Callithrix jacchus: one gene and its partner. The protein of the gene in region 1 interacts with the protein of each later gene in a pairwise test. Links are inferred from orthologs where the notes say so. Each region holds a gene or a part of one and is shown in the gene's direction. Other genes may lie near its edges.

Evidence for each region.
Region 2: the proteins of LRP6 (region 1) and GSK3A interact in binary tests that used the Homo sapiens proteins (3 or more experiments, as listed by UniProt). The link is inferred for Callithrix jacchus from reciprocal best matches to the Homo sapiens genes LRP6 and GSK3A.

Annotation. Positions count from the first base shown.
Region 1 is NC_133510.1:11,104,525-11,108,335, forward strand, and holds part of LRP6 (low-density lipoprotein receptor-related protein 6), read left to right. Parts: intron 1-2,588; coding exon 2,589-2,720; intron 2,721-3,811. UniProt on the Homo sapiens protein: Component of the Wnt-Fzd-LRP5-LRP6 complex that triggers beta-catenin signaling through inducing aggregation of receptor-ligand complexes into ribosome-sized signalosomes.
Region 2 is NC_133523.1:37,269,449-37,274,033, reverse strand, and holds the start of GSK3A (glycogen synthase kinase-3 alpha), read left to right. Parts: upstream 1-1,566; 5' UTR 1,567-1,731; coding exon 1,732-2,014; intron 2,015-4,038; coding exon 4,039-4,226; intron 4,227-4,585. UniProt on the Homo sapiens protein: Constitutively active protein kinase that acts as a negative regulator in the hormonal control of glucose homeostasis, Wnt signaling and regulation of transcription factors and microtubules, by phosphorylating and inactivating glycogen synthase (GYS1 or GYS2), CTNNB1/beta-catenin, APC and AXIN1.

The DNA of each region.
Region 1 (3,811 bases):
AAAAACAAACTCTTGGGCCAGGCGCAGTGGCTCACACCTGTAATCTTAGCACTTTGGGAGGCCAAGCCTGGTGGATCATTTGAGGTCAGGAGTTTGAGACCAGCCTGCCCAACATGGTGCAACTTCGTCTCTACTAAAATATCAAAAATATTAGCTGGGCTTGGTGGCACATGCTTGTAATCCCAGCTACTTGGGAGGCTGAGGCTGGAGAATTGTTTGAACCCAGGAGGCAGAGGTTGCAGTGAGCCGAGATCATGCCATTGCGCTTGAGCCTGGGCAACAAGAATGAAATTCTGTCTCAGGGGAAAGAAAACCCTCTTTTTTTTAAATGAAAACTCTGTTAATCTAGAATTTATTTGAATATAAGTACCTCAGCTTGCTAAATAAAACACCTACTTAAACTTTTCTGTGCAGCCTTCCCACCTTGTTTTCCTTAGTTTTGGTTCTATTTTTGGTCAGCCTTTACAATGACTTGGACTATGACTGCTGACAACTTGTAAGAGAGGACTGGAATTAGGTTTAAAGGAAAATGAGAATGTTAAGGGTTTGGCACTTGTGTGTAAATAAATGTCTGGCATGTGTCTGAGTGTATTTCAGATTTTATTCCATAGCCAAAAATGAAGAGTGTTTGTACCATGTGTTGCTTTATATTAGCTCTTTTCATTTAGGTGGAGATAATCAAATATTGAAAGTGTTATGTTGGAATCCAATGATCATGAGCCCATAAAAATGTTTTTAAATGTATGTGTTACTGTTCTGTACAAAAGAAAACGTTCAGTCACTCATATGAATTTTTTTATTCTCTATAGCCCTCAAAAGAATTTTCCCTGTTTTTTGTTTGTTTTTTTGAGATGGAGTCTTGCTCTGTTGTGTGTTGATGTGATTACAGCTAACTGCAGCCTCGAACTTCCAGGCTCAATCGATCTTCCCACCTCAACCTCCCAAGTAGCTGGGACTATAGGCATATGCTGCCACCACCATACCTGGCTAATTTTAGTTTAGTTTTTTTTTTTTTTGAGATGGACTTCCATTCTTGTTGCCCAGGCTGGTGATTCTTCTACCTCAGTTTCCTGAGTAGCTGGGATTACAGGCATGTGCCACCACGCCTGTCTAATTTTTTGTATTTTTAGGAGAGACAAGGTTTCTCGATATGCTGGTGTCGATATCCTGACCTCAGGTGATTTGCCCACCTTGGCCTCCCAAAGTGCTGGGATTATAGGTATGAGCCACTGCACCTGGCCTAATTTTAGTACTTTTTATAGACGCAGGATCTCATCTCTCCATGTTGTTCAGGCTGGTCTCAAGCTCCTGGACTCAAATTATCCATCCATCTTATCCTCCCAAAGTGCTGGGATTATAGTCATAAGCCACCGTGCCTGGCCTCCTGTTTTTCTTTTCTTTTTTTTTTTTTTTTTTTTTTTTGAGACGGAGTTTTGCTCTTGTTACCCAGGCTGGAGTGCAATGGCGCGATCTCGGCTCACCGCAACCTCCGCCTCCTGGGTTCAGGCAATTTTCCTGCCTCAGCCTCCGGAGTAGCTGGGATTACAGGCACGCGCCACCATGCCCAGCTAATTTTTTGTATTTTTAGTAGAGATGGGGTTTCACCATGTTGACCAGGATGGTCTCGATCTCCTGACCTCGTGATCCACCCGCCTCAGCCTCCCACAGTGCTGGGATTACAGGCGTTGTTTTTCTTTTTAAATGGCACTGTTGGTCCTTTATGTTTTAGTAATTTGAGAATTTACAGTTATCTTTCATATTGATTACTTTTATCTTTCATGTTCCATTGCTCTCCATCTTCTGTTGATTTTTTTTCTATGAGTATTGTTTGGACATGTCCCTTTTCATAATTTCTAATTTTGCTAATTAGTTTTCTCTGCTTTTTATTTCCCCACTTTTCTGCTTATTCCTTCTATGTTAATCTTCCCAAAGCATGACTTGTTAACATAATTACTTTTCTTGGCTTTCAGTGTCCTTCACCTCAGTCTGTTCCCATTCTTCATACTCATTCAGCTTTAGTTTCTATTAGTCAATAGAAACCGTAACCTCCAGTTATACTGTTGATCTTATTATCTTAACTCGTTTATGGCCCCCAAGGTTTTATTCAGATAGCTTTACCACACTTGAAATGTCCTCTTACCTATCCTTCCACAAAGTGGATATAATTATCCTTAAAGGCTCCTGTGCTAGATCCTCCACAAAGTTCTTCAATTCTTTAAACCTCAGGGTTTTTTTTTTTCCCATTTGACTCTGTACTTGTTGTCTATAATGTGTAAAATAACACTTAGTTTTTTTGATTTCTATTTGTTTTAGTTTTTCTTTTTTTGTTGTTAATTTTGTTTAATGGACTAAATTATAACCTCTTTTAGGGCAGGGATTTCCTGTTTTACTTCTTTTATATTCTTTGGATACAAAATACTTAGTAAATTTACACTGATTATTTCCTTTCCTTGCAATGGTTTGGTAGTTAAGCACCTGCATGACATTTGGTAATAATTTTGGCTTATCACAGTTGTTCATGTTATGGTTGTTAACCTTTGTGTACTTAGTAATCATTGGTATTAATCAATGTGATTTATATTTGACAGCTACAAATCTATGTGCAATTGACAATGGTGGTTGTTCCCATTTGTGTTTGATGTCTCCAGTCAAACCTTTTTATCAGTGTGCTTGCCCCACTGGGGTCAAACTCCTGGAGAATGGAAAAACTTGCAAAGATGGTAAGACATTATCTAAAATGAAAAGTTTTAAAACTATTGGAATTCCTCATTATTTGTTTTTTCTATAATTGGCTGTCTAGGTTATAGTGCTTTGGGAGACCAGTCACTTAATCTCACAATCTTCACACATGGTTATAGGAGTGTTTTATTCTATGACATCATTTGAATGCTATTTTATACATTATTTTCGTGTTGTAAGTAACATTTTTGAAAAAAATGACATGCTCTATCTTTTCTGTCAAATCTCATAGTTATCGATACCAAAATTGATAACTATAGAAATGAGTGTTACTTCTCATAAAGAATATATTTTTAACAGGTAGCATTTGTAAATAAAGAACATCTCTGAAAGGAAATATGTTTATTAAACTTTTAGTTACAAAGAATATGAGATACATTTTCTAACAAATGATTTAAGGATATTTTAAATTGCTTTTTAACAATAGAGATGCTTTCAGAAGAAGAAAAAAATACATATTGTACTGTTTTAAACAACTTCTTTTTATACTTAAGAAACACACTGCCTCTTCTCCTTACTCTTAATTCCCTATAGAGAGAGGGCATGTTGGAGAAAGTATACTGATTTAGGACATTTCAAGGGACTTCTGGTTTGGAAGAACACCAGTTCTTCTGTTTTTCTTCTTAATGAGAATGTTATTCATTCTCATCCCTATGGATCACCATCTTGTTCTCTAGCAACCAGCAAGACCTGGTAAGAAAATTGTTATATTTAGCCATGGCTTCTTTATCTAACCTGAAAAGCAGAAGCCTGTACTTTGGAGTGTGTTAGAGTCCCTGGCAAGGGGGCCAGGGAGTCAGAGAGATGGAATTGAGTCTGTGTACAGGATATTTGTTATGACTTGGCATTGATAAATTATCCTTATAGTAAAAGGTGAAGCTGGCTGACTCCTGTCAAATGGTTTCCATGGCAGACAACAATTTGGTTTCAATTTAAAACAAAAGGTTTTTGTAATGTTGCTTTTTTCTTTAAAAATGTAGCCTGACTACATAAACAGAGGATTTATTTGAGCAATAATGGGTCTATCTACTCCCTCACAGCAGTGCAAGTGTACGTGTTTAACCAGTTTTGA
Region 2 (4,585 bases), on another chromosome or scaffold:
AAATTAGCCGGGCGTGGTAGTGCACGCCTGTAGTCCCACCTACATGGGAGGCTTGGGCTGGGGGATTGCTTGCGCCTGCAAGTTCGAGGCTGCAGTGACCTATCATCGCACCACTCCCCTCCAGCCTGGACAACGTAGCGAGACCTTGTCTCACACAAAGCAAAAACGGAATGGGGTTCAAGACAGAATTCTTTTTTTTTTGAGACGGGTCTTGCTCTTGTCACCCAGGCTGGAGTGCAGTGGCGCGATCTCGGCTCACGCAACCTCCGCCTCCCGGGTTCAAGCGATTCTCCTGCCTCAGCCTCCTGAGTACCTGGGATTATAGGCACCCGCCGCCACGCCCGGCTAATTTTTGTATTTTTAGTAGAGACGGGGTTTTGCCATGTTGGCCAGGCTGGTCTCGAACTCCTGACATCAGGTGATCCGCCCATTTTGGCCTCCCAAAGTGGTGGGATTACAGGCGTGAGCCATCTCGCCAGGCCCAGAAATTATATTTCAATCTTTTTAATGTTCCAATAAGCTTTCTGGTGCTAACCACATTGCTAGGAAAAGCTAGACTGTATCCGACGGCTCGTGTTCTGAGAAACCGCAGAAAACTTTCTTTCCTGAATCCTTTGCACAGTTGTGGGGGTGGGGGGGCAAGAGAGGGGACATTTTTTCTTTCTTGATCTATGATCACCTGGAACTTAAAGGTGCTTGGCTCCATTTTCCAGCAGTCCTTGACCGACCTCGGCTTTTTCGTAAAGAAGGACCTGGGGCGAGGAAGAAGGCGCTGAAACACTTTTAAGTCTCTCCAGGGAACTGCTGCAGCCTCTAAATTTTGCTCACACGCCCCCAATCGTCGCCATTGGACTCCGCTTCCCGGCAAGCCTCTGCAGACTGGCCTTACAAAAGGTCAGGTCTGGACTATTCCCCAGCACGCTTGGAACTCTTAGGCGATCCCGCCCCCTCAGTCAATGGGGAGGATGCCTGGAACTTCATTTCCCAGAACACACCAGGGCTCTCTGTGGCTACTGCTCTAAGAGCCTTGGTGTTGACTACACTTCCCGGCAGGTACTGCGGCCTAGCGTACCTGGGAAGGGGAGCGCGAAACCTACGCCATTTCCTCGCCGATCTCCGGAACTGCAGTAGCCACTTGGGGCTTGGAAACCAACTGGGACTCCGTTTCCCGGCGTGCTCTAAAAATCTCTTTACACCTGCAATGCGGTGAGGGCGTGGCGACGACTCCATTTCCCGGCTTGCTTCACGGCCGGAGAGCCGCAGGTTCACGCGCGCCGACTCAATTTCCCAGAGCGCACCGGGCTCTGGGACGCATACACAACCAATAGACTGAGTGAGTGGACTCCGTTTCCCAGCGGCATCAGGCTCTCTGCTTCCCAAAGTCCTTCAGGGCTCCCCGTCGTACAGTCGGCTGCCAGATTACCCTGGACTCCATTTCCCGACGTACAGCGCGACCTGTCATTCCCGTGGTACTTTGAGGCTTTTGTGGACTTCATTTCCCGGCGTGCCACGCGGCTCTCCGTGCGGGCCGAGGGCGGTGACGGCGGCGCGGACGACAGCCGGACTGCATCTCCCGGCGTGCCCCGCGGCGGGCGCTGGGCCGGAGCCGGAGCCCAAGCCCGAGCGGCGCGGCCTGGAAGAGGCCAGAGCCCGGGGGAGGCGGCGGCAGCAGCGGCGGCTGGGGCAGCCCAGGCAGCCCGAGCCCCGCGGCCTGGGCCTGCGCTCGGCGCCATGAGCGGCGGCGGGCCTTCGGGAGGCGGCCCTGGGGGCTCGGGCAGGGCGCGGACCAGTTCGTTTGCGGAGCCAGGCGGCGGAGGCGGAGGCGGCGGCGGCGGCCCAGGAGGCTCGGCCTCCGGCCCAGGCGGCACCGGCGGCGGGAAGACGTCTGTCGGGGCCATGGGTGGGGGCGTCGGGGCATCGAGCTCCGGGGGTGGACCCGGCGGCAGCGGCGGAGGAGGCAGCGGAGGCCCCGGCGCAGGCACTAGCTTCCCGCCGCCCGGGGTGAAGCTGGGCCGTGAGTACTAGCGGCGCCTGTGTAGGTGGTGATCAGGGTTCCTAAAGCTCCTCAGACATCCGTCAGGTTCTTTCATATGCTTAGATAGGAGCTCGAGGTCACTGTGCCTCCCTAAACCGAAGATCCGAGCCCTCTCCCTCCCAGAAAAAGGGGTCTTGGGGTTACCATCTCTTGGATGTCAGAATTACTCTGGGATCAGAATTATTAACACTTAAAGAAACGAGTTACAAGTCCGTGTTCTTCCATTATTGAGGTCTTGGGCCCTTGAGCCTTAAGAACAGGTATCTTACGTTGCTGTTCATTAGAAAACTGGATCAGAGGTCATAGTCGCTTGCAAATGGGGAGCTATTGTCTCCTAAGAGAACAGGAATAAGACAATACCCCGAAAAAGAGGGATCTGCATTTGCTGTCCTTCAGAAGATGGGGATTTGGAGTGAATATCACTTAAAATCAGGGCTTTGAGGTTACTGTGTTGTGTCCCCAAAAAATAGGGCCAGGGCTTTCCAAACCTGGTACTCAGATCATCTTCCCTATTAACATCAAGACTTGGCATCATTACCCACCCTAAATATGTTGAGCTGTACCCCAGTGGTGAGAATTAATAGGTATTGCTTCTTCGATATAAAGACATTGGGAGTCAGCATATCCTTCAAACCAAGTCCATAGTCCATATTTTAAAATACATGGCTTGGTGTGTCTTCTTTAACAAAAATGGAATGGAGCAGGGTGGTTCACAGTTTCCTATAGACTATGGATCTAAGGTTTTACTTCTTTAATAAATGTTCTAGGGTATGGTGTCATTGGCTCTGAAAAAAAAAATAGTGATGTAGGGTTATCTCCCTCTGAAAGAACATGTCTCTGGCCCCTCAAAATGGATTTGGTGGCTGGGCGTGGTGGTTCACGCCTGTTATCTCAGCACTTTGGGAGGCCGAGGTGGATGGATCACCTGAGGTCAGGAGTTCAAGACCAGCCTGGCCAATATGGTGAAACCCCGTCTCTACTAAAAATACAAAAATAAGCTGGGCGTCGTGGCAGGCGCCTGTAATCCCAGCTACTTGGGAGGCTGAGGCAGGAGAATTGCTTGAACTCAGGGCGCAGAGGTTGCAGTGAGCTGAGATTGCACCATTGCATTCCAGCCTAGGCAACAAAAGCAAAACTCTGTCTCAAAAAAAAAAAAAAAAAAAGGATTTGGTTCATCAGTTATTCAAAGACCCCTAAGAATGGCACCAGGGTTTGCTACCATCTGAATAATGGGAATTGAGAATTGTAGCTTTCCTTCAAAGGACTGAGGCTGGACTAGCCCCTTGATAATAGAAGTCAGGTTTATCATTCTCATAATCTGGTACTTGTCCATTAGGGACCACCCACATACAGGGAGGGGTCTGGGGCTGTGGACCACACAGATGAAGAGGTCAGGTCAGTGTTTTTTCTAATCTCAAAGTACCAAAAAGTGAGGGTCAAGGCACTGCTACGTATACCAGGAGAGGACATTCATTTCTGTCACCAAGAACCAGTGAAGTTAACAGCTCTACAGGGGAGGACTTAGAGGTCAGTATCCTCTAGGCTGTGAGAAAGACTAGTGCTTTCCTAAAGTAGGAGTAACTCAGGGTTTCTGCTCCCTTAAGTGGATGAGGTTGAGTCAAGCTTTCTCCAAATATGAGGGGCCAGAGGGCAGAAGATCAGAGTGGATGGAGTCAACATCTGGTGTCTCCCAGTACCAAGATGGACCAGTGATCTGTTGCTTCCTAGAAGTAGAAATTTGGGGTTGACAACCCTTGAAGCAGAGAGGTTTACGTATCAATATCCTCCCATGTGGAGGAGAGGCAGGATTTAAGTTTCCCAGAAAGGAAGAGGGGAAAAGTCACTGGGAAGTTCCAGCATCCACCTCTCCTCAAAGAGGAGGAAGGGACAAAGAGGTCCCCAACAAGCTTCCTGTGGAGATTTCCCTTCCTCCCACAGCCCCAGGATGGGGCGATGTGCAGACAGGATGGGTCAGTGGATCGTGTATCCCCTTTGTTCCCCAGGTGACAGCGGGAAGGTGACCACAGTGGTAGCCACTCTAGGCCAAGGCCCAGAGCGCTCCCAAGAGGTGGCTTACACAGACATCAAAGTGATTGGCAATGGCTCATTTGGGGTCGTGTACCAGGCACGGCTGGCAGAGACCAGGGAACTGGTCGCCATCAAGAAGGTTCTCCAGGACAAGAGGTTCAAGGTAGCTTGGGCGGGATGGGGATGGGGAGGTTTGGGAACTGGGCATGACTGGTGGGAGAACCCTAGCCAGACAGCTGAAGGCTTGGGTTTCAGAGCCATGGTTCAGAAGGGAAAGGGGGAAAAGAGGAAATGAGACCTGTGGAAGATGGGAAATGTGGATCCCAGGAGAGCCCAGAGCTGACTCTTATTGGGCATTTGCTCAGTGTACATGCTTTATAGGCAGGTTCTTATCTAATTTATATAAAGATTCTCTGAGGGTAGGTACTATTGTTATACCCATTGTAAGTATAAGATAACCTTCTGCAGGAAAACTGAAACTCAGATAAGAGAATTGCCTGAGGTCATAGAGTACTGCCCCAG